3 linked regions of the Diceros bicornis minor genome follow. The protein of the gene in region 1 binds, or shares a complex with, the protein of each later gene. Links are inferred from orthologs where the notes say so. Each region holds a gene or a part of one and is shown in the gene's direction. Other genes may lie near its edges.

The links.
Region 2: the proteins of SLC3A1 (region 1) and SLC7A9 are in contact, whole or in part, in a cryo-EM structure (PDB 6LID), measured with the Homo sapiens proteins. The link is inferred for Diceros bicornis minor from reciprocal best matches to the Homo sapiens genes SLC3A1 and SLC7A9. Residues at the interface, in NP_000332.2 of Homo sapiens: Pro64, Tyr65, Ala66, Gly67, Met68, Pro69, Lys70, Leu73, Phe74, Phe76, Ser77, Tyr82, Pro85, Arg86, Phe90, Thr93, Val97, Leu100, Ile101, Ala103, Thr104, Ile107, Ile108, Ser111, Cys114, His201, Asp202, Thr373, Glu374, Pro375; in NP_001119807.1 of Homo sapiens: Cys137, Phe140, Tyr141, Val142, Gly143, Cys144, Pro147, Ile149, Val150, Cys153, Leu154, Ala156, Ala157, Leu160, Phe161, Thr164, Leu168, Thr279, Thr281, Asp295, Arg296, Tyr299, Tyr343, Val346, Arg347, Lys467, Thr470, Met471, His472, Gln474.
Region 3: the proteins of SLC3A1 (region 1) and solute carrier family 7 member 13-like are in contact, whole or in part, in a cryo-EM structure (PDB 8WK6), measured with the Homo sapiens proteins. The link is inferred for Diceros bicornis minor from reciprocal best matches to the Homo sapiens genes SLC3A1 and SLC7A13. Residues at the interface, in NP_000332.2 of Homo sapiens: Pro64, Tyr65, Ala66, Gly67, Met68, Pro69, Lys70, Leu73, Phe76, Ser77, Arg81, Tyr82, Pro85, Arg86, Leu89, Phe90, Thr93, Ser96, Val97, Leu100, Ile101, Thr104, Ile107, Ile108, Ser111, Cys114, Leu115, Glu194, Asn195, Asp202; in NP_620172.2 of Homo sapiens: Ile120, Phe123, Phe124, Pro125, Ser126, Cys127, Leu132, Pro133, Cys136, Leu137, Leu139, Ala140, Met141, Trp143, Ile147, Arg151, Lys187, Thr265, Arg267, Asp281, Arg282, Glu450, Cys454, Tyr455, Gln457, Leu458, Leu459, Phe460, Asn461, Ile462.

What each region holds. Positions count from the first base shown.
Region 1 is NC_080751.1:40,748,128-40,755,926, reverse strand, and holds the start of SLC3A1 (neutral and basic amino acid transport protein rBAT), read left to right. Parts: upstream 1-4,792; 5' UTR 4,793-4,809; coding exon 4,810-5,239; intron 5,240-7,799. UniProt on the Homo sapiens protein: Acts as a chaperone that facilitates biogenesis and trafficking of functional transporter heteromers to the plasma membrane.
Region 2 is NC_080773.1:6,570,760-6,578,640, reverse strand, and holds the start of SLC7A9 (B(0,+)-type amino acid transporter 1), read left to right. Parts: upstream 1-4,865; 5' UTR 4,866-4,905; intron 4,906-5,202; exon of another isoform or gene 5,203-5,284; intron 5,285-5,821; 5' UTR 5,822-5,873; coding exon 5,874-5,960; intron 5,961-7,793; coding exon 7,794-7,881. UniProt on the Homo sapiens protein: Associates with SLC3A1 to form a functional transporter complex that mediates the electrogenic exchange between cationic amino acids and neutral amino acids, with a stoichiometry of 1:1.
Region 3 is NC_080772.1:35,165,762-35,173,765, forward strand, and holds the start of solute carrier family 7 member 13-like, read left to right. Parts: upstream 1-5,003; coding exon 5,004-5,688; intron 5,689-7,405; coding exon 7,406-7,537; intron 7,538-8,004. UniProt on the Homo sapiens protein: Associates with SLC3A1/rBAT to form a functional heterodimeric complex that transports anionic and neutral amino acids across the apical plasma membrane of renal epithelium.

The sequences.
Region 1 (7,799 bases):
TTTATTACAAAAGTCATATATGCTGAGGGCAAATAACTCAGTCAGAGTAAAGCGAAAAGTCAAATTCCAAGGATTATTGTCTTCATTCTCTTATTCCCAGTCTCCAGCCAACCACTAGCTGAAGGTTCAATATGCATGCACGAATGTGAGTGCCACTTTTTCCCCCACAATTCTGATTATATTACACATACTGTTCTAAAATATTTCTTCCACTTCACACTATATTTTAAACATTTTTTGTCTGTCAGCCCAGATAGATAAACTCATTCTTTGTAGGAGCTATGTGGTATTCCATTGTCTGAATATGTCATAATTTATTTAAATGATTCTGTATTGATGGTTATTTAGATTGTTTCCAATTTTGTTGCAGTGTTTGTCCTTGTATATATATCTTGTTGGTTACATCACCAAGATAAATTTTTAGCAGTGTAATTTCTGAGTCAAAGGTTATGCAATTTATAGTTTTGATATATACTCCCCAATTTTTCTATACAAAGATTGCACTAGTTCAAACTCCGGCCATGAATGTATGAGTCTGCTGGCTCCCTATATATTTTTTGATGCTGGATATTATCAAACTTTCTCATTTTTGCCATAATGGTAGTTTAAACATAGTATATCCTTTTTATTTTTGTTTCTTATTTCTTTAATTTTTAGTGAAATTTACATTTTATGTTTATTAAGCACTTGTATTTTTTTCCTGTCAACTGTTTACATCTTTTGTCTGTTTTTTTATTTTCTGGTGTTAATTTGTATAATTAATTTCTATATTATGGAAATTAGTTTGTCATATGTGTTAAAATATTTTCTTCTAGTTTGCCATTTGCCTTTTATCCTTGTGGATTGTTCTGTTTGCTTTCAATTTTTGGAATAAAATTTATCAGTTTTTTTCCATTGTGGTGTCTAGGTTTTGTATTTTGTATTATATTTAGAGAGGCTTTCCAAATCCAAGATTATTTTTTAAAATACACAAATTTCCGTCTAGTGTTTTTTACAGTTTTATTTTTCACTTTTGAATCTGATCCACATAGAACTTATTTTGATGTCAGGAATAAGGTAAGCTATATAGCTTTATTTTCTTTTCCCACTAGTTATCCAATTATCCGACGTCAGTTACTAAATAATCTTTCTTTTCCTCACTGATGTGAAATGTTGCCTTTTCTTATTCTAAATTCACTTCTGTATAGGGGTCTAGTTTGGTGACTTCAATCTGTTCAACTGATCTTTTGACCTGTCCTTTCTTTAGTATCAACTCTTTATTTTTCTGGAGTTTTATTTTAAAATCTGGCAAGACTAGCCTCAATTATTACTCTGAAAATGTTAAAATTCATGATATACATTGCCACATTACTTTCTAGAATTATTATGTCAATTTACGCTGGACCCTTGCCAGCACTATTATCTTTTAGAAGTTCTTTGCCAGTGTAATTAAAAATAAAAAGCCTATTTATTTCTCTGATATTAGTGAGTTGATTTGTGTGAAATGTCTATCTATATTCTTTTTTCAAGTTTTCTATTGAAATTATATTTTTAAATTGCTATGAAATTTCATATATATATACATAATGTCTAACAAAATATACATACTTTTGACATTAAAAACATAAGTTCTTTGGCATATTTGTTACCAATATATTTCACAATTTGTCATATGATGTTCAGTTAGTGTGTTTTGCAATATAATAAATTCAAAAATTTTATTCAATCTTCTTCTTCTTCTTTTCTTTCTTTTTTTTTTGGTGAGGAAGATTGGCCCTGAGCTAACATCTGGGTCCATCTTCCTCCACTTTATATGTGGGACACCACCACAGCATGGCTTGATAAGCAGTGCATAGGCAGTGCTTAGGTCCGCACCCAGGATCCGAACCCGCGAACCCTGGGCCACCGAAGCGGAGTGTGTGAACTTAACCACTACGCCACCAGGCCAGCCCCAAAGCAATCTTCTTTGGTAATTACTTTTATTGTTTAAAAAATCTTCCCACCAGGAGCCGGCCCGGTGGCGCAAGCAGTTAAGTGTGCGCGCTCCACTTCGGCGTTCACAGGTTCGGATCCTGGGTGTGCACCGACGCATCGCTTGGCAAGCCATGCTGTGGTGGCATCCCATATAAAGTGGAGGAAGATGGATACGGATGTTAGCCCACGGCCAGTCTTCCTCAGCAAAAAAAAGAGGAGGATTGGCAGATGTTAGCACAAGGGTTGATCTTCCTCACAAAACAAAAACAAAAACTTCCCACCAGAGACAAGATAATTATTCTAGATTGTTTTTTAAAAGATTTTAGTTTGCGTGTTCTGGAATTCCAAAGTATTGTTGTTATTGTCATTTTAAATAAAATGTAGAGAAGTTGAAATGGAACATTTCTGTCATGAGGGCATATTGCTATGATGTAGAGTTTTTTTGCATTTATACGATTGTACACTTAGAATTTAAGAATTTATAATTAAAAGTTATTTCTTGGGGCTGGCCCAGTGGCACAGTGGTAAAGTTAGGTGCACTCTGTTTTGGTGGCCCGGGGTTCGCAGGTTCAGATCCTGGGTGTGGACACACACTACTCATCAAGCCATGCTGTGGAGGCGTCCCATATACAAAATAGAGGAAGATGGGCACAGATGTTAGCTCAGGGTCACTCTTCCTCAGCAAAAAAAGAGGGCCAAGCTTTCTCACGAAAGGAAAAAAAGTTATTTCTTATAATTTGAAATTATCTGAAAATCATGGGTATTTTTGCACATTGTTTTTTCCCCAAATAGTAAGTGAATTTCAAGAATTAGCTCCTGTTGTGAAAATTATCATTATGTGTTTGAGATAAAGCATTTCAAGACATAAAAGTTAAATTCCTTTGATTTTTAAAGAATGCACAATATGCATAATTAGTAAAAATGAGAGATGCTGCTTATTGGATTCATTCAATGAGCTACATATTGGGATTTACTCATTTTTAAAAGTAACTTGTGCAGAGGCCCGCCCCGTGGCTGAGTGGTTCAAGTTGTGCACACTTTGCTTGGGCAGCCCAGGTTCGCAGGTTGGGATCCTAGATGTGGGATCCAAACCTCGCCAGCCATGCTATGGTGGCATCTCACCTACAAAATAGAGGAAGATTGGCACAGATGTTAGCTCAGGGCTAATCTTCCTCAAGCAAAAAAAGAGGAAGATTGGCAGCAGATGTTAACTTAGGGCAAATCTTCCTCAGCAAAAAAAAAAAGGGGGTGGGATTCACTTACTCATTAATTCCACAAATATTTATTAAGCACATACTCTGGGCCTGGCACTGGCCTAGAAGCTGGAGAATCAGCTGGAAATAAAACAAATAAAATTCCGCCCTACCCGCCCACCCTCTGCAAAAAGTAACTTGTTCAAAATCAAGTAGCTCATTTCTCTGTACCATATATTGCTTCTAAGTCACTCTACAAAACAACAGTAATGTTAGGATTTCAAATAACTTTCCTCATTTAAAAGAAAAAAACACTTCTTGTTATCTGATCAAATGATTCATAGGGCTGTTTAAGTGCCATTGATTAAACGAAAACTCTGAATCACCACATTCTTTGCAGGCTTGCAGAATCTTCTAAGAAAGCACACTTAACTTTAAAGAGATTATCTCAGGGTTGCAAATGCTGTATTTTACACTTGTCAATGATTAAACACCTCTTTAGTGCTTGTATTAAGAACTGTTTACCTATAGGAAAGCACTTGAACTTGCTAGACATGAATCCTTTCTCCCCACCAGCCCCAATCTCTGGAAAGTGCTTCCAAGAATGGGCAGCCATTTCCTTTTCTGAAAATAGGAAACAAGACTGAAGGCACCTGGGGGTGAATTGAGTGTACAAATGGGTATTTATAAGGTTTGCTTGAACTGAGATAAAATAAAATTAGCTTCAGTAACCTGGATTTGTAGGAAGAGAAGAGACCTTCAAATCAAAGAATACAAAAAAGCCTGTTTCCCCTTGCAAAATTTAGTATTTGTTTCTTTTTCTCACACCTAGCTAAAAGAAAAAATTTAAAGCTATTTTTTTTTATTGTGGTAAAATATACATAACATAAAATTTACTACATTAACCATTTGTAAGCGTACAATTCAGTGGCATTAAGTATATTTACATTGTTGTGCAACCATCACCACTATCCACCTCCAGAACTTTTTCATCATCCCAAATGTAAACTCTGTACTCATTAAATAGTTACTCCCCAGTACCCGCCTCCCCCGACCCCGCCACCCCTGGTAACTACCCTTCTACTCTTTGTCTTTATGAATTTGTCTAGGTGCCTCATATCGGTGGAATCATACAATATCTGTCTTTTTGTGTCTGGCTTATTTCACTTAGCATAATGTCCTCAAGGTTCATCCATGTTGTAGCATGTCAGAATATCCTTCCTTTTTAAAGCTGAATAATATTCCACTGTATGCATATATCACATTTTATTTGTCCATTCATCTGTTCATGACACTTGGCTTGTTTCCACCTTTTGACTATTGTGAATAATGTTGCTGTGAACGTTGGTTACTCAGTCAAGTAACATCTTAAGTTGCAGTGGAATCCTGCCTCTTCTTCCCATTTCCCTTCCTCTATGCCCCTGTTCCAGGCCAGGTCTGACCCCCTCAGTGTTGTGACTGTAGCTATATCAGCCTCAGGAGTGTAAACAGATTATTTTTAAAACCCCCTTTACCTTTACCCTTTCTTCCTGGGCTGGACTTTGTCCAGCCAGGTTTATTTATAAACCACGTAAAGCTTATTAACATGACCAAGCATTTCAGCCAGCTACCTTCCCACCTCTGTATTTCAGGAAGGCACTCCACAAGGATAAGACCGTGAGACATGGCTGAGGATAAAAGCAAGAGAGACTTCATCGGAATGAGTATAAAGGGAGGCCAAACAAACAACGGGTTTGTCCAAAATGAAGACATTCTAGAGAGAGACCCAGATCCAGGCAGCAGGGCTGACAGCCCACACCTCACCGCCGTGGGCATCCCGGGCTCCGCAGAGCCCGACCTGAAGGACATCCAGCCCTATGCAGGGATGCCCAAGGAGGTGCTGTTCCACTTCTCGCGCCAGGCTCGCTACCGGGTGCCCCGGGAGATCCTCTTCTGGCTCACTGTGGCTTCTGTGCTCGTGCTCATTGGGGCCACCATAGCCATCATCGCCATCTCCCCAAAGTGCCTCGACTGGTGGCAGGCGGGGCCCATGTACCAGATCTACCCGAGATCTTTCAAGGACAGCGATCAGGATGGAAACGGAGATCTAAAAGGTGTGTGCCTGGAGACAGTTTAGGGCGGGGCCAGGATGACATTGGTTTATGGCTCTCTGAATCCTTGAAAACGAGTTATGCCTGAGTTGTGCGGCTAAAGCACATTCCAGTATGACTGGCATGCCAAGTTTCTCCTTGTTTATGATATTTTAAAAAACCATTCAACAGAACGCAGCAATTCTCCCCTTATGATGAAAGGCTACTTGCTGGAGGCCTTTGAACCCCCAAAGAGTTGTTTAATTTATTGCTCAGTAAGTATACGTATGCTTAATTGGTCATCAATTCTAACTTCTTACACGGAGCAAGTTTCCTCTGAAATGTTGCCTGCTTCTGTGCACTTTATAGTTGATTATCTTTTGATATAGTTGATTGTCTGAGTAAATATAGTTGATGATTTATAGTTGAATATCTGATGTCTTTAAAAGGTGTAGGTTGAGTCTTTAAAGTTTAAATCTTGAGAAATGAAGGAAAGGAAAAAAGGCATAGCAGTGTATTGGTCATTACTTGAATAAAGGATTATTGAAAACAATACTCGTATTAGTAAAAAAAATAGAAGTAAAAAATTATTTTTTTGAAGTTATGCTAATAATTTCCTAGTGAGTTACATGTAGAACGTCCTTATAATTTATTGCTCAAACCAGGACACTTTTAAAAGTAAAATTATGCCACACAGCAGGCACAAACTGGAACCGTCCTGGGCAAACTGGTTGATATGGTCACCCTAGGTAAGGGCAATGAAAAGAAACAAATAAACTAACAAGGTAATGTTTGATGATGATATTTGGTTTCAACAAAATAAAACAGAATGATTTAATAGAGTGTGGGAAGTGGGAATGAGCTTAATCTAACTTTTAATGTTACATATAAACTCTTGAAATCTCCAACTTTCCTTAAAAACTGATAAAAGGCTTTTCTTTTTTGCGCTCATATCATTCTCTCTCTTTTTTAATCTTCCTGCATCTTCACTAATCGAAATACTATCTGTCCTTCAAGGAGCAGTTCCAACCCATTTCCTGCATTAGTCTGTATCTAACTCCTCTACCAGAGCGCGGCTCCCCTCCCTAGAGCTCCCGGGGTGCTTTGGAGCGTGTTTGTAGCATCCTCTGGTGCTGCCTTGGAACATACCTGGGTGACTTCCCTTCCACGCCCCCTACCCCCGCATGGCCCTAGCACCTGCTGCCTTTTATGCAGTGACTGCTTAACAAAAGTGATGTTTTGATGGAATACAGCTAAGATCCCTAAACTCAAAGATATGCGCCCCCACTTCCTGGCCCTCCCTTGTAATCTCCTTCGAGATAACCCCAAATTCCCAGAAACAGGGCAGCTTCTACTCAGCTCTTCATTTGTCATTTCCAATAACTTCTCCTTGAGGGACTGGCTCAATAGGTATTTGTCCTTGAGGTTGAGGGGATTTTGTTGTTATTGTCTGAGGAAACGAGGCCAGGTTTCAGTTTTTGGTGACTGCCTTCTGTCCCCTGGGTGTGGGCCTGGGATCCCTTGTTTACTTTGTGACCGTTCAGTCCCTTCGTTTTTATCATCCTCTTCCTTTGTGCCTGTTCGTAAGCTATATTGTATGGTTGTTCTGACTTAAATCAAAATCCTTTTGTTGCCGGTTGACCCTCTGTGAGTCTCACAGCCACCCATACGGAGGAACTGAGGTACAAAGAGGACGAAAATAAGCAGCCCGTTGTAAGGGAAGAGCCCAGATGCCAGGAGTCAGGTGACTGTGCTTTGGTCTCAGTGGCCTCCAGCCTGCTGTGTGATCCCTGACAGGCTCTGACTGTAGTAAGCCACATAGTGTCCCACAGACAGTTACTGGAGGTTGAGTACGAGATTCAAGTCTCTGAATCTGCATTTAGGACTCTGAACTAGAAGCAAAAAAACACGCTATCTGCTAATTATCTTACAAGGTTCCAAGTACAAAGAATTTCATTCCGGTATCTCTTCTCAGCCAAGTCTAGAATTCTCTTCTATATGAATTCTTGGCTTCAGCACTGTCCAAAGGAAACAGAAGGTGAACCACACATGTAACTGTAAATTTTCGAGGAGCCACATTAAAAAAATTAAAAAGAAACAGGTGAAATTAATTTTAATGTATTTTGTTTAATCCAGTATATCATTTCAACATATAATCAATATAAAAATATTAATAGGATATTTCACAGTCTTTCTTTGCATACTGGGTCTTCAAAGTCCGGCGTGTGTTTTACATGTATAGCACATCTCGGTTCAGACTAGCACATTGCAAGTGCTCAATAGCCGCATGTGGCAAGTGGCTGTCATACTGGACAGTTCAGTTTAGACCATGTGACCATCAGGGGCCATGTATTAGTCTTTGTACCTTGGCACTTAGCCCACCACCCGGCCTAGATTAGGTGCTCAAAAACCAGGTGGAGAATAAATTAACAATACTGTCATCTTGGTTTTAAACATAAAATATGAACAAGCCACAGACAGATTTTTTTTAATGTTATGCATGTATGTTAAAGGTCAAAGGTTACTACTAGAAGACTAATTTGATGCTGTTTGTAGAACTAGACCTTGCTATTGGAATTCCACC
Region 2 (7,881 bases), on another chromosome or scaffold:
TGGCTGGAGAAGTGGGGTTCTTTGGTTGGTAGCCCACCAGAATCCCACAGGAGGGCCAGTTCCCCGCAGAGGTGGATGTGGGCAAATAGAAATAAGATTACTAAAAATGGTAGCTCTTTATTAAAGAGCATTCAAGACCTGTGATTACTCAGAACCCTCCTTCCCTGACCCTGCCAGCTAATATACCTTTTCATCACGCGAGAACACTGAGGTTGAAAGGTGCAATGGTGACAAGGTGTGGGATTAGGGAGCAGGACGGGGAGTCACATTTTAGAAAATAATTAGATGAAACTCTGAAATGGAGTACTGGTTTCCCCAAGAGGATTATCCACAAAAAATTCCGTTACTTGGAAAACATAAAAATGATGAACACACCAAAAGCAAAGGCAACAAAAGCAAAAATAAACAAATGGGACTAGATCAGACTAAAAAGCTTCTGCACAGCAAAGGAAACCATCAACAAAGAGAAAAGGCAACCTACAAAATGGGAGAAAATATTTGCAAATCATATGTCTGATAAGGGGTTAATATCTAAAATACATAAAGAACTCATACGACTCAATAGCAAAAAACAATCCAATTAAAAAATTAGCAGATGGGCCGGCCCTGTGGCTTAGTGGTTGAGTGTGCACGCTCCGCTGCTGGCGGCCCAGGTTCGCATCCCGGGCGCGCACCGACGCACAGCTTCTCCAGCCATGCTGAGGCCACATCACACATACAGCAACTAGAAGGATGTGCAACTATGACATACAACTATCTACTGGGGCTTTGGGGGAAAAATAAATAAATAAATAAAATTATAAAAAAAAAAAATTAGCAGAGGATCTGAATAGACATTTTTCCAAAGAAGACACAGATGGCCAATAGGTACAGGAAAAGATGTTCAAATCAAGCGTTTGTGAGTATGTGGAGAAAAGGAAGCCCTGGTGCACTGTTGGTGGGAATGTAAACTGGTGCAGCCACTATGGAAAACAGAATGGAGGACCCTCAAAAAACTGAAAATAGAACTACCATATGATCCAGCTATCCCACTTCCAGGAATATATCTGAAGAAAAAAAAAAACACTACGTTAAAGAGATATCTTCCCCTCCATGTTCATTGCGGCATTATTTACAATAGCCAAGACATGGAAACAACCCAAGTGTTCATCTATGGATGAATGGATAAAGATGTGAGATGTATATATATATATATATATATATATATATATATGCACACACACACACGATGGAATATTATTCAGCCATAAAAAAGAAGGAAATCTTGCCATTTGCAACAATATGGATGGACTTTGAGGGCATTATGCTAAGTGAAATAAGTCAGACAAAGACAAATACTGTATGATCTCATGTATATGTGGAATCTGAAAAACCAAAAAACAAACAAACTGAACTCATAGATACAGAGAATAGATTGGTAGCTGCCAGAGGTGGAGGTGGGGGGTGGACAAAATGGGTGAAGGGGGTCAAAAGGTATAAACTTCCAATAATAATACTGTATTGTATATTTGAAAGTTGCTAAGACAGTAAATCTTAAAATTTCTCATCACAAGAAACAAAAAATTTGTAGCTATATGTGGTGACGGATGTTAAATAGGTTTATCGTGGTGATCATTTAGTAATATACACAAATATCGAATCCTTATGTTGTATACCCAGAACCAGTGCTGTATGTCAGTTATATCTCAATGAAAAAAGATGATGGACAAAGTTCTAAGGTAGAATTGCACTATCCCAATAGTTCTTGGATATATGTAGATACAGATTGTTTCCCAGATAAGATCTTAAATTGTGCTTTCCTTGCTAATTGTTTTATGGTTCGACTGTAAATCCTCGACACTTGAAGACTCTGCACATTCCACTGACTCTTCATGGGTTCTTCTGGCTGGAATTCAGGTAGGTAAGTAAACACCTGTTATATGGGATCCCCCCGAAGCCTTGAACCACGGTCGGCAGCAGTGGGAAGGAGTATAGGACCGAGTGAACTTAGGAAGAACAGAGGAAGGTTGGAAAACTCGAAGGCAGGTCTGGAGCAAATTTAAGTGGTAAAGGAAGATTCAGCATCTGTCTGGATGGTAGACTTTGCCTCTGTCGTGGAGGAAGGTGAATCAGAGGACAAGACACCAAGGGCTATGGAGAAACGGACTTCACCCCAGGCTCAGCGTGTCTTTAGAAAACATCACAGGAGAGGGAAGCAAATATGTACCAAATATAAGACGATAAAATAACATGCAGATGGTGTTACTATCTTCAAACTGCGAGCATCTGCAATTGGAAAAAGCACAGTGTGAAAGTGAAGGTCAAAGCTTTAGCAGAAACTTCAGGAATAATGGAGTTGTATGGAAAAATAATATGAAACTTCCTAGGAAATGAGCTGTAAGAGGGAATCGACTGCATGTGGTAAAACTTCAAAAAAACCTTAATTAGTTGATAACTCTCTCTGCTGGGGCAAAACAAAAAGAAGAAACAACAGCTCTTTTTTTTTTAATTAATTAATTTATTTTTTATTGCAGTAACATTGGTTTATAACATTGTATAAATTTCAGGTGTACATCATTATACTTCTATTTCTGCATAGATTACATCATGTTCACCACCCAAATACTAATTACAACCCATCACCACACACCTGTGCCTAATCATCCCTTTCACCCTCCTCCCTCCCCGCTTCCCCTCTGGTAACAATCCAATCTCTGTCTCTATGTGTTTGTTTGCTGTTGTTTTTATCTTCTACTTATGAGGGAAATCATACGGTATTTGACCTTCTCCCTCTGACTTATTTCACTTTGCATGATACCCTCAGTGTCTATCCATGTTGTCACAAATGGCTGGATTTCATCGTTTCTTATGGCTGAGTAGTATTCCATTGTGTATATATACCACATCTTCTTTAACCATTCGTCCCTTGATGGGCACTTAGGTTGCTTCCAAGTCTTGGCTATTGTGAATAACGCTGCAATGAACACAGGGGTGCGTGTATCTTTACGCATTGGTGTTTTCAAGTTCTTTGGATAAATACCCAGCAGTGGAATAGCTGGATCATATGGTGGTTCTATCCTTGATTTTTTGAGGAATCTCCATACTGTTTTCCATAGTGGCTGCACCAGTTTGCACCTCCACCAGCAGTGTATGAGAGTTCCCTTCTCTCCACATCCTCTCCAACACTTGTTGTTTCCTGTCTTGTTAAATATAGCCATTCTGACAGGCGTGAGGTGATATCTCATTGTAGTTTTGATTTGCATTTCCCTGATAGTTAATGATGATGAACATCTTTTCACATCCCTGTTGGCCATCTGTATATCTTCTCTGGAGAAATGTCTGCTCAGGTCTTTTGCCCATTTTTTTAATTGGGCTGTTAGTTTTTTTTTTGTTGAGATGTATGAGTTCTTTATATATTTTGGAGATTAACCCCTTATCAGATATATGGTTTGAAAATATCTTCTCCCTATTGTTAGGTTGTCTTTTCGTTTTGTTGATGGTTTCCTTAGAAACAATAGCTTTAAGAAAAGAAATGTTCACCATGGACCGAGTATTCACTGAGGTAGATTTCTGACCCTCAACAAAGGATCCTCACACCCAGATGTTCCCAAATCGGCACTTGGCAGAGGCCCAGGAAGACCAGGGAGCCTCTGCATCAACAGAAGGCTGAAGTTTAATGCGCAGCCTTCCGCAATCCCTCAGTTCCACGGGGGCGGCCAGTACGAGCCCCTCCTACAGATCTAGAACGTGATGTTTAGAGAGAAGATAAGTGACCCCAAAGCCATGTGGCTGGTGGCCGGCCCTCCTACCCTCTACCCCCTGCCCTCTTCAGGGGGTTTCTGTTAAAATATCCACCCTCTGGGGGCAACCTTGATGCAGGGAGTATTCTGGAGTGCTTTGTAAATATGGATGGGCCAGATGCTAGTTGAGTGCTGCTGTGTTAGCAAATACTTCTAGGAGTGACTCAAACGAGCCTGGGGCAGGTTCTCCTGGGGCAGCAGGTGCTGCCCTGCCCTCTGACTCCACGATCTGGGCAGATGAGCACTCTGCCCGGGGCTGGGGCTTGGCGGGCAGGGGAGCAGGCATGGCCCCACTAAGGGGGCAGCCAACAAACTTCTAAATCAGGACCCTGACTCTGGGACAGCAGGGGTCCCCACATCCTCCAGATGGCTTTAAGAGACGACCCCGAGAAAGCTGCCCTTCTCTCAAGTCCGCCTGCCCCAAAGTGCTCCCAAAGTGACCCCCAGTGACCCACCCAGCTCTGTCCTGTGACCTTTGGTCTCCTCTGGAGATCTGGGATGCTGTTCAATTTACCCCAGTGCAAAACTGCCGGCGATAAGAGCAACAATGCTTCAGGCTGGGCTCTTCCGCCCAGAGGAAGGCCTTATCTGAGATAAGGGATTAGAGCTGCCACCTGAGCCGCCTTTGTGGGGAGGGGCAGGTCTGCCCCCAGCCCCTCTGAGTGCAGCTGGAGCCCCTCTGCTGCCTCTCTGAGAAGGCCAGATCTCTGTGGCCTTGACGGACTTTGTTCCCTCTGGGGCCTCAGTTTCCCCATTGGGTGTGTGAGAGTGGAACTGATGACAATTTGTGCCCCTTTTCCACTCTACAGTTGGGCCAACGTGAGCCTGGGCTACTGAACAGCAGCACCACCAAACTGAAGGAGCGCCTGGCCCGAGCCGCACGCACAGACGGGGCAGGCCCTGCCGGAGGCCTCACTGCTGTGTCTGAATTCTGCCAAGCTCTCCTGCCGTTCCAGCTGGTGCCCAAACCCTGTCACTGCCGAAGTGAGTGGAAAAGACTCGCGCACCGTCCTGCTGGCCTGCTCAGCACCAGGTGGAAGGCAGACGGGCACTCGGGGAGGAAAACGTCTGGGCTGACCCGTGGTTACCTGCGCGGCGTGGCTGCTGGCGCTGCCTCACTGGAGCTGTAAGTAGAGCCCATTAAGGTCATAAAGAGTGAGTTCCAAAGTTTATCTCCGCTGGTTCCAGTCTTTGGAGAGATTTCTCCTTACATGATGCAGCTGATTTGGGGGAATCTGGTTAAGGAAAAAAATTAATCTAGACACGAACAAAATGAAAAATATTTTTGGAGGAAACAGGTTTGCCCGCCCCTCCCCTTTTTGTGTGATGTATCCAAGCTTCATTGCTAAAAAAAGGTGTTTAATAATTACCTTTGTTGACCTCTGTACCTTCTGGCTTCCTCTGCTCCTGGGCACAAGACATGGCCATTCCCAGGGCGCGACAGTGCAGACGCAGGCGGTCGGCCGCCACGGGCAGCTCCCCGGCTCTGCGAGGTCAGGAAGAAGGTAAGGGTGATGGGTGGGCTCCCCGCTCGCCTGGCCAGGGCCTGGAGGGGACTTTATTAGAGAAAGGGGACAGGAAATGACCATCAGCTAGTTCAGACTTGAGCTTATTTTCCGCAGCAACTTTTTTCATTCCTTGCATCAGTCAATGGAAAAACATCTACACTGGGGGTCTATTACGCATGAGGTGCCCTAATCTTGGGAGTAATCATGAGAAACTCTGTGGACTGTGGAGGCAGAATGATTTTGAAGCGTGTCACTGCTGAGAATTAGGAGACAGCACAGGCGGTGAGCCTGGAGGCTTGGGGCTCTGACTGGGAAGTCTGGAGACGAGCACAGAGCCTCCTTTGCAGTCAGAGGCCTGAACAGCAGTCAGGGTGAATTGTTATTCCTGGGATGGAGCAGATTATCCCTAAGGGATCGACAAGTGTACTTTCCTGAAACAGTAGCTAACAACCTGCTTTGGGAGTCAGTTCCACGACGCAGATGCGTTAGCTGAGCAGAGCCCTCGCTGACCTGCAATTGTGTCTTGTCTGCCAGAGCATTTGCCGAATCAAGGCCCGCGCCCTCCTAGAACCGGCAGGAGGGAAAAATGGAGGAGACCAGCCTGAGAAAAAGGAGAGAGGATGAGAAGTCTGTCCAGAGTAATGAACCCAAGAGCACAACTCTCCAGAAGGAGGTAAGGCTGTCCTCCGCGCGGGCCCTGCCCAGGGCAAGCAGGGTGTGTTAATGTTAATGAGCAGCGGCAGGCAGAGAAGTCCCAATGGTCTCTGATTTGTAAAGTACGTTTCTAACTGAACAATTCTTTGGACTTACCTCTTTCCCTCTCACCAGCAAACTCAACATTTTTTTTTTTGTGAGGAAGATCAGCCCTGAGCTAACATCCATGCTAATCTTCCTCTTTTTGCTGAGGAAGACCGGCTCTGAGCTAACATCTATTGCCAATCCTCCTCCTTTTTTTTTCCCCCAAAGCCCCAGTAGATAGTTGTATGTCATAGTTGCACATCCTTCTAGTTGCTGTATGTGGGACGCGGCCTCAGCATGGCTGGAGAAGCAGTGCGTCGGTGCGCACCCGGGATCCAAACCCGGGCCCCCAGCAGCAGAGCGCGCACACTTAACCACTAAGCCACTGTGCCGGCCCAAACTCAACATTTTCTTGTGACGTTAATACATGTGTGCTTCTGTGTGCTGGGCAAGCGTCCGGAGGGGTCCAGTAGCTGCTCAGGGATGGTCAGAGAGGACCTTCTGATGTGCGAGTCTCCTCTATAGCATCTTCTTCACCAAATGTCCGTTCCTCTCATGTTTGAATACCTCCAGTGATGGGAAGCTCCACTTAGGTCTCAGCGAGTCTAGCTGGGGTGGCGTGTCTGACGCGGGTGTGACATAGGTGACCCCTCTGAGTTGGAATGCAGTAAGGGCTGGACTTGGAGGTGCCTGCGGCCTAGAGGGGCCAGAGCGTGTGGTAGGTGGGCTGGCACTGGGCCTGCAAGGAGCGGGAGCTGTGGAGGGCGGGGAGTGGAGGCAGAAGGTGCTTGATGCTCCACAGGGTGGAGAGCGAGTCCCAGGGGATGGCGGCAGCAGGGGGTGGGCGTGGAGGGACAAGCTCCAGGCTCCTAAAATGCGGAGCGAGGGCCCCAGAGCAAGATTAGGAGGGCAGGACGGGTGGGCTGAGCTGTGGGCAGAGCCTCCGGGAGCTCCGTGCCTGGCAGCAGAGGGGATGGAGGAAGGATCTGGGGGTTGACAAAAGGCAGTGGCATGGCTTGACTGTGGGTTGGCCTAGGATCTTGGGTCCCCAGGAGTCAGCTCATGGGCAGCAACACTCTCCCTTTTGGCCATGAAAGGAGCACGGCTGAGCTAACCCTAGACAGCCAGCTTCGGGGTGAGTGCAGACCTCAGCAGGAGGAAGGATTCTGGAGGGCCCCGGGGTGTCGGTGGGCCAACCCGGGCGTCAGAGGAGGAAAGCTGAGACTGCCTGGGAGCTCCCCCTCCCTGAGGCCAGACTGAAGCGGAGGCTGCTCCTGGCACCACTCCTCCAATCGTGTGTGTCCCCTGGCGACCCGATTCCTTGTTCTCTGGGCTCCAACCCTGACCGCAGCCTCTGCCCAGACAGGCGAGCGCCTGCACGTTCACCTCGGGCTCCAGAAAGCAGGCCAGTGGCTTCCGAGGGCTGACGTTACACGGAGGGGCCTGAATCAGGCATTTTCTTCCTTTAAAGAAGTTTTTTTCCCTTGATTCGTGTCTAATTTACATGCAGTGAAATGTGCAGATCTTTAGTTCCCTCAGGAGGGCCCCCAACCCTGAGTGTCTCTCCCCGTGGACTAGTTTTGCCTACTACAAGTAAAGCCCCAGAAGCGGGCCCTGGTGTCATCCCTGCAATGGCCCGGGGCAAATCCCCCGGCACACGGGCCTGCCTGGGGCCGCGCCGGCCGCGGGAGGGAGAGGGCTGATGGGGCCATCCGAGCGGGAGCCGGGCGGCAGCATGAACTCTCCTCTTCCTTCCTCTCTGTCCCAGGTGGGCCTGATCAGCGGCATCTGCATCATCGTGGGCACCATCATCGGCTCGGGGATCTTCATTTCCCCCAAGTCTGTGCTCCGCAACA
Region 3 (8,004 bases), on another chromosome or scaffold:
TCCTACTGGAAATGTAAGGGGATTTTTCTCTGATACTTGCTGTGAGGATCTGGTAGAACTCCTCGAGGTAAAACTCACAAAAGTGTGTGGGCCCCCGTGTAACTGGGTCCCCCTGGAGTTTTATCTCTCAGACTTGTCCACATAGAGCCTCTAGCGATTCATCAACTACGTTTTGGCTTTCGTATCCTGGTATGGTCCTTGCAGATGACTGCTTGTGAATTTCTGCTCAGGTAAGTTGTGATTCTCTGTATCTGCCTGTTTGTCTCTCCTGTTTGGGGGCAACAGCTTTCCCTCTGACGTCAGCGTTCTGACAGATCCAAGAGTTGTTGATTCTCCTGTTTGTTCAGCCTTAAAAAGCTGTTGTTAGGACGAAGTGAACACTTCTAAGCTGTCTACATGCCACATCAGAAATCAGAAGCCTTGATGTAATATATTAATTACCTTCCTGAGTTCCTTAGTTTGGGTGTTAATTTATAGTCCAGAGTCTCTTTCTGCTCCATTGAGCTGTTCAAATGGTTCAAGGATCAGCATCCTCTCCTCCTGCTAGTAGTACTGTTTTACACAGATTTTCTGTACAAATCTATTCCCTGACAGGATGAGGGCACATAGGAACCTTCAGCCCAAGCTCATTGCTTTCTCTATCTCCCAAAAGTTTCCAGTCCTTGAGAGCAGCACGTACATCACCTGAATCCAAAAGACCTGGATAATATGCTTTCAGGTTCTCCTTCTAACCTACACGTATCCTTTCCACACTCCTCTACTCTCTATTTTTTTTTTCCGTCACTCTATCTGGCTTTGGTATAAACAACAAAGAGAAAATATAAAAAGGGACCACACTTCATCCCCCACCCTCATTTCCAGCCATAGTGCTTCACATGTAACTTTTATTGTGAAAACAAGATCATTTAGAGAAAGGAGACAGGCAGAGTCTGTGCAACTCTAAAATTTGTTCTAGCGTTCCATGCTGTAAGAAGGAACATAGACCACTAGACCAGACTAAAATAAGGGCCTCAAAACACATGCTCTCCTAAAATCCAGTATAAATTCCTCATCTGAATTACGGAGTGACAGTAATAAAAGAATTTACTTTGTTATCTTTTGTGTGACCAGCTGTGCGACCTTCTTTCTCACAGACGGGATAGAGGCACTGGCACAAAGTTCACAGACACGGCCACTCTGTAGAATGGTGTATAGTCTTTCTGTGTGAACTGATTCTGAATGAGGATAAAAGTTTCCTGATCATCTTCCCCACCCTCAAGCTATGGATGTTAAACAATGCCAAAAGAATTTAAGGTCCACTGTGCCATTATTATTTTGTACACTGATGTATCTAGAGCACCTAAAACAACGTACATTTTAGCAGTTCATGAATATTTGTAGAACAATTGAGTGGACGGCAGAGAGGACATTGGTTTAGTATACCAAAACTTGGAGGCAGTGTTCTGGAGATACAGCTCAAAGAAGCACTCTAATAATGCAAAATTTAAAAATCCATTTTAATAGAGTCTGACTCCATTTTGATGTTTGCTGACAGCTTTTAAGCCTCATGACTCCCTTTCACTTTCTGCCCAACATCTGGGCAAGCTGATAAGAAAGGCTGGTGTTCCCTCCATCGGCACGAACAGGAACTTGGAATTACACAAGCTGCATCTCATTCAAATGGTAACTCGCATCCCAGCCCTACCCCCTAACCACCATAGAACCCCAAGCTAGTAACTCCTGCCTGCCGTCTCAGGACATTTTTGGACCTGCTTGGGACCCTGCCCTGTCCCCACAAGAAGTCTCATTATGAGACTAATAAGCACTTCCATACTCTCTTCGTGCATACATGTCATCATCAGTCTTGACATCTGAACCAAATTTTGAATAGCGGGAGTGGGGTATCCACCCCATCTCAGTGGAGTGGCTACATATTTGAAGATTAGTTTTTTATCCAAGAAAAAATCTTAATTCCATAATATATGCATGTTTAAAATAAACACTTCAAAATAAATTTTGAGTCCTTAAATAAATTCCTCAAAAATTTTCCAAAAGTACTTCGAGTGAAATTGACACCTCAGGAAGATGAATAACATTTATGCCATGGCTTCACCTATTCCCTGGCATACACTTATTTCAGCAATGAGTATTTCAGTTTGAGAGGTATAGATGCAATCCCATTCCATTAACTTATAAATGAAGGAAATTGATGCAGAGAAAACAAAGGGAAATGTCTAAGGTTACACAAGTCAGCCTGAACAGAGATCATACGACTCCAATATGTCAAATATTCCCCAAATCTAGTTTATTATTTTTATTTTCATATACCTAACACAACATCTAATGCAATCAAGGAGTTTCTATAAGGTATTCAGAAGCATGGTCAAACATAAACAGCAATTACAAATTACTATCTTAGGAATTAAAAATATAGAGACAAAGGGAGAGTATCGAGTAAACAGCTACAAAAGGCAATGAATATCTTTTCATGTGCCTGTCAGCCATTTGTATATCTTCCTTGGGAAAATGTCTATTCAAGTCCTCTGCCCATTTTTTAATTGGATTGTTTGGTTTTTTGCTCTTGAGTTGTGTGAGTTCCTTATATATTTTGGATATTAACCCCTTATCAGATAGGGGGTTTGAAAACCATCAGATGGATGGTTTGAAAATATTTTCTCCCTTTCCATTGGTTGCATTTTCATTTTGTTGATTGCTTCTTTTGCTGTGCAGAGTTTTTTAGGTTGATGTAGTCCCACTTGTTTATTTTTTTGCTTCCATTGCTTGCACTTTTGGTGTGATATCCAAAAAATCATTGGTAAGATCAATGTCAAGGAGCTTCTTTTCTGTATTTTCTTCTAGGAGTTTTACAGCATCAGATCTTATGTTTAAGTCTTTATCCATTCTGAGTGAATTTTTGTGAGTGTTGTAAGATAGGGGTCCAATGTCTTTCTTTTGCCTGTGAATATCCAGTTTTCCCAACACCGTTTATTGAAGAGACTATTTTTTCCCATTGAGTGTTCTTGGCTCCTTTGTCAAATACCAGTTGACAGTATACGCATGGGTTTATTTCTGGGCTTTCAATTCTGTTCCATTGGTCTATGCATGTTTTTATGCCAGAAAAAGAACTATAGACTATTCCCAAGGAGTTTTGCTTGTAACTGTAGTAATATGTCTAGAGATCTTCAGAATACTGTTCTCACAGCCAAGAAATGAATTAGAGTCTAGTTACCTGGTTGAAATACCTGCCTGCACTGACACAACTTTCATGGTTTATATTGTCATTGAATTGTGTTTGGCTTTTTGTGGCTTTACAGAATTATTTATTTATAACTAAAATCATAAATCTATATAAATATGTATGTAAAAATATATAAAATTTAATTTCAATTAATCTATTGTTTACTTAATTATTTAATTAATTAATTCAAGTGAATAGCTGGGTGACCCCAGCAAATTATTTAATTTTTTATCCCTTAATTTCCTCATCTATCTCTACTATATCATGAGGTGGCTGATTTGACTTAACGAGTTAATGTAAGTGTTAAACATGGTTCTCAGCACATAGTAGGTGTCATGTAAATGTTGGCTATTATTAGTATTACCCTGTTGAAGCTCAAAGCCAGTACATAAAAAGTCTTGGTTTATATACGTCTTCCCTAGACAGGAGCCTCTGGAGGATAAGAGTCAGTAATTCAACAGATTTACTGAGACATACTGCATACCCTGAGCTGGACCAAGGAGCAGGGTTACAATGGTGGACGAGACCCAGACCATGTCTTAGTCATCCTGTACATGCGTTGATTAGCACAATACCTGGCAAAAAGCAGATGCTCAAAAGAGTGTGCCCTCAGCAGTAAGTAGCTGGAAATATAGAAAAAATAAATCACGTCGAAAAGATGAATCATGCCCCTATAAGAATGTTGACAGGGGAAATGTAAAACTCTAAATATGTGTACCAAGGGATCTGCTTGTTGAGAAGTCCGTCTAGTTTGCAACTAACTGCAAAATGTTTTCAAAGAACCCTAGAGACACTGAAGCACTCTGTATATAATGTAGATAGTGAGAACTAAAATAACCAGATTATGAAACTAACAATAATGGATCCCTAATATACATTAGGCACACTACTAGGAGCTTTTTATTAGTATTTGCTCTATAGATAAATTACCTCATTTAATCCTACTGAAGAAAAAAATAAGGTAGGGAACAAGATGGGGATTATCAGTACCATTTTTTTTTTTTTTTTTTATGAGGAGATCAGCCCTGTGCTAACATCTGCCAATCCTCCTCTTTTTTTTGCTGAGGAAGACAGCCCTGGGCTAACATCCGTGCCCATCTTCCTCCACTTTATATGGGAGGTCGCCACAGCATGGCCTGACAAGCAAGCAGCGCGTCGGTGCGCGCCCGGGATCCGAACCAGCAAACCCCGGGCCCCCGCAGCGGAGCGCGCGCACTTAACCGCTTGCGCCACCGGGCTGGCCCCTATCAGTACCATTTTTAAAAGAACACAATTGAAAATCAGTAAGTTAAGTACATAGATTTGCTAGTAAGTGGCAGATGTGTGTGATTCAAACCAAGATCTGCTCACAAATGGCACATGTGGTTCCAACCTTGCACTCTTTGTCATTCTACAAACTTCTTTATGGTACAAACTTAAAAAATTACTTCTTTAATGGTCAAAATGAATGAGCTTACATATCCATAGAAGAATCTTGAATTGGAATTTTTTTTCTCTCACTCCCAATTAGCTGTGTCTAACTTGTTGTGCACAACTTTTTAAAAGCTTAACGTGTAAAACATTTTAACTCTAATATCAAGATCTCAGAAACTTTAGTTCAATTAACTCACAGGTTAATTTTTTTTTACTATGTTAGGTGCTGTAACAAAATACATTTGGCTAAGAGAGGAGGAGGAGAGCAAAGTGCTTGACTATAAGAAGCCCGGCTGAAGCCTTTCAGAAAGACAACAGGGTAAAAACTGTGAATTAGTGTCAGCTTTTAAAGCAAACTTTCAGATTTAAGAAAATGAAGAAAAGGGAGAGTACACAGCTTCAAAGGGTAATAGGATATTTCCACGGAACAATTTTCTTATTCAGTGTCATAATAGGTGCAGGGATATTTATTGCCCCTAAAGGGGTATTAAAATACTCCTCGCTCAACGTGGGGGTCTCCCTAAGCATTTGGGCTGCTTGCGCCATAGTGTCTATGATGGCTGCCCTGAGTCACGCAGAGCTGGGGACCACCCTCCCTAGAAGTGGAGCCCAGTACTGTTTCCTCAAGAGATCCCTTGGACCCTTTATTGCTTTCTTCTACATCTGGGTCACTCTATTTAGTGCGCCGGCAGGCATTGCTGCACGTGGCTTGTTACTAGCAGGGTATATCATGCAGCCCTTCTATCCTGGATGTTTCGTTCCTGAGATGCCAAAGAAATGTTTGGCGTTGGCCATTTTATGGTGTTTGGGAATTCTGAATGCTCGAGGAGTGAAAGAAGTGGCTTGGTTTCAGACTGTCAGTACGGTGGTGAAAATGACAGTTCTCTGCTTCATCTCCATAACCGGAATCGTGCTGCTGGTGAGAGGAAGGAAAGAGAACCTCGCCAGGTTTGAGAACGCTTTCGATGCCGAAGTTCCAGGAGCCTCCCAGATTGCAGAAGCCTTCTTACAAGGATTATATGCATACTCAGGCTGGGGAGTCCTCGTTCGAATAGCAGGTAAAATTAATTTTTAAATTATAAAATCTACCACTAGGCTAAAAACACATTAACATTCAAGCACCTTAATTCTAAGAAAGAAATACTACATCGTTTTGATATGATGTGTTTCTGTCTTATTTTATCAGGTGCGTGGAAACACATTAAACCCTCTACAAATGTGGCTTTCCAACTTTGGAAAGTGAAATATTTTCCAGGCATTTACAATTAAAACAGGGGAACACAAAACAGAAGCAGCTTAAAGACCCCATAGCAATTGCACTTTTTTATTGAGCAAATATTTTAATAGTCTATATTTCCTAATTATAACTGATTCTTATCAGAGAAAATATTTAAATACAGAAAATATAAATTAAAATAAAGATTACTTGCATGTACACACATGCAAGGATCACTGTACTTATACTCTAATAACTTTATTTTACTTAAAGTACATAGAGAGAATTTACAATTATTATTAAATATAAATGGTTTTTGATGAATACACAGTGTTCTATCATATGAAATTTGACTATTACTTAAATGTTTTCCCTTTGTTGGATCCAGAGCTGTTGCCAGTTTTTCACTTTTACGTTTTATACTTATTGTTGCAATCAGCATCCTTCTACATAAATCTTTGTGGATTTCTCATTGCTTTATTAGAAAAAAATCTTGAAATGATATTACTAAGTGAAGCATATAAGTATTTAGAAATGTGCTGAGAAATTGCCTTCCAGAAAGGCTCTACAAATAGTTCTTTTAGTGTGAATTAAAATGACTACACTTGGCATTATTATACTTTTTGTATTCTTTTGTTATTAGATTTGTGGAAATCAAATCTCAGTGTTGTAACTCACTTTTTCTTCGATTACTAATGGGAGGAAAGAGTTTTGCAATTATTCATGACCATTTATATTTCTTTCTTGTAAGAATACAGGCAAATATTTTCCCCAGTTTGTTCTTTGCTTCTTATTTTTTTCATAAGATTTTTAAGACTATAATTTTAATACTTATAGTATCAAACTATGAATATTTTAATTTTGCCTTGTTTTCATACTTCAAAAGTCTTTCCCCATCTCAAGATTTAGATAATATATATCTGTGCTTCTTTCTCTAAATCTTTGTGGTCTTACTTTTACATTTTACTCTTTCATACATATGAATTCTTTTAAGGGAGTTGTATAGTGTGAGGTAATAACATAACTTTATATTTTCCAAATAGTTAAACACTTGTGTTAATCTTGGTGTTGGCAATATATACTCAAGTTTAATCCCAGTTTTATCTAATCTAGAGACTTAATCCAAAGAGTGAAAAGAGCAAGGAGTCTACACTAACTCCTAGAATATTGTGACCAGATTAACAGATCAGCTATTCCAATCCTTCATTAACGCGTAGTTACAATTCTACCAAGTTGGCCACAAGATAGGGGAAGGTTCCCTCCAGTTCTCCTGGACTACAGTTCAGGGTTTCTGAGCTGTTCTCTTCTCATCCAAGAGGCTCATGTCGAGTATCTCAGGGAGACAGCATTGAAACCTCAGAATTTAACACAAATCTATTGCTACTAGAATCAGTAATTCACCTGGGACATGGTAAATAATATTCAACAAAAATGAGCTCCTTCCATTTGCAGAGTCATTTCTTTTTCTTATTATATGTTATATTGAAACCACTTTCAAATGTTATAGAATTAGTCATTTTTTTATGTTATGGGTTTTTTTTTTTTTTTTTTTTTTGCAGGAGAGCTGAAAAACCCCGGTGAGAATATCCCCAAATGTCTGATTACTGCACTTACCCTTGTAGCCTTGACCTACCTACTGGTTAACATTTCCTACCTGGCAGTCCTGACTCCAAAGGAGATCATGTCCTCAGGTATGGCTGCACAGAACCAGAGGGAAGACACCCTCCGTCCCCTTCTGCCATTCTCCTGGGTGTTTCTAATGTACAGTGGATCTTTTTGCATACCTTAAGAGAATTATGCTAGATTGGTTCATGTCTGGATTATTTATTTATTTATGTAAAGTTAAAAGTTTAAAAGGTCAAGCAATCTTTAATTTTGAGCTTATATTAAAGAGTAGGGGCCGGCCCCGTGGCTTAGCGGTTAAGCGCACGCGCTCTGCTACTGGCAGCCCGGTGTTCGGATCCCGGGCACGCACCAACGCACCACTTGTCCCACCATGATGAGGCGGCGTCCCACATACAGCAACTAGAAGGATGTGCAACTATGACATACAACTATCTACTGGGGCTTTGGGGGGAAAAAAAGGAGGAGGATTGGTATAGATGTTAGCTCAGAGCCGGTCTTCCTCAGCAAAAAGAGGAGGATTAGCATGGATGTT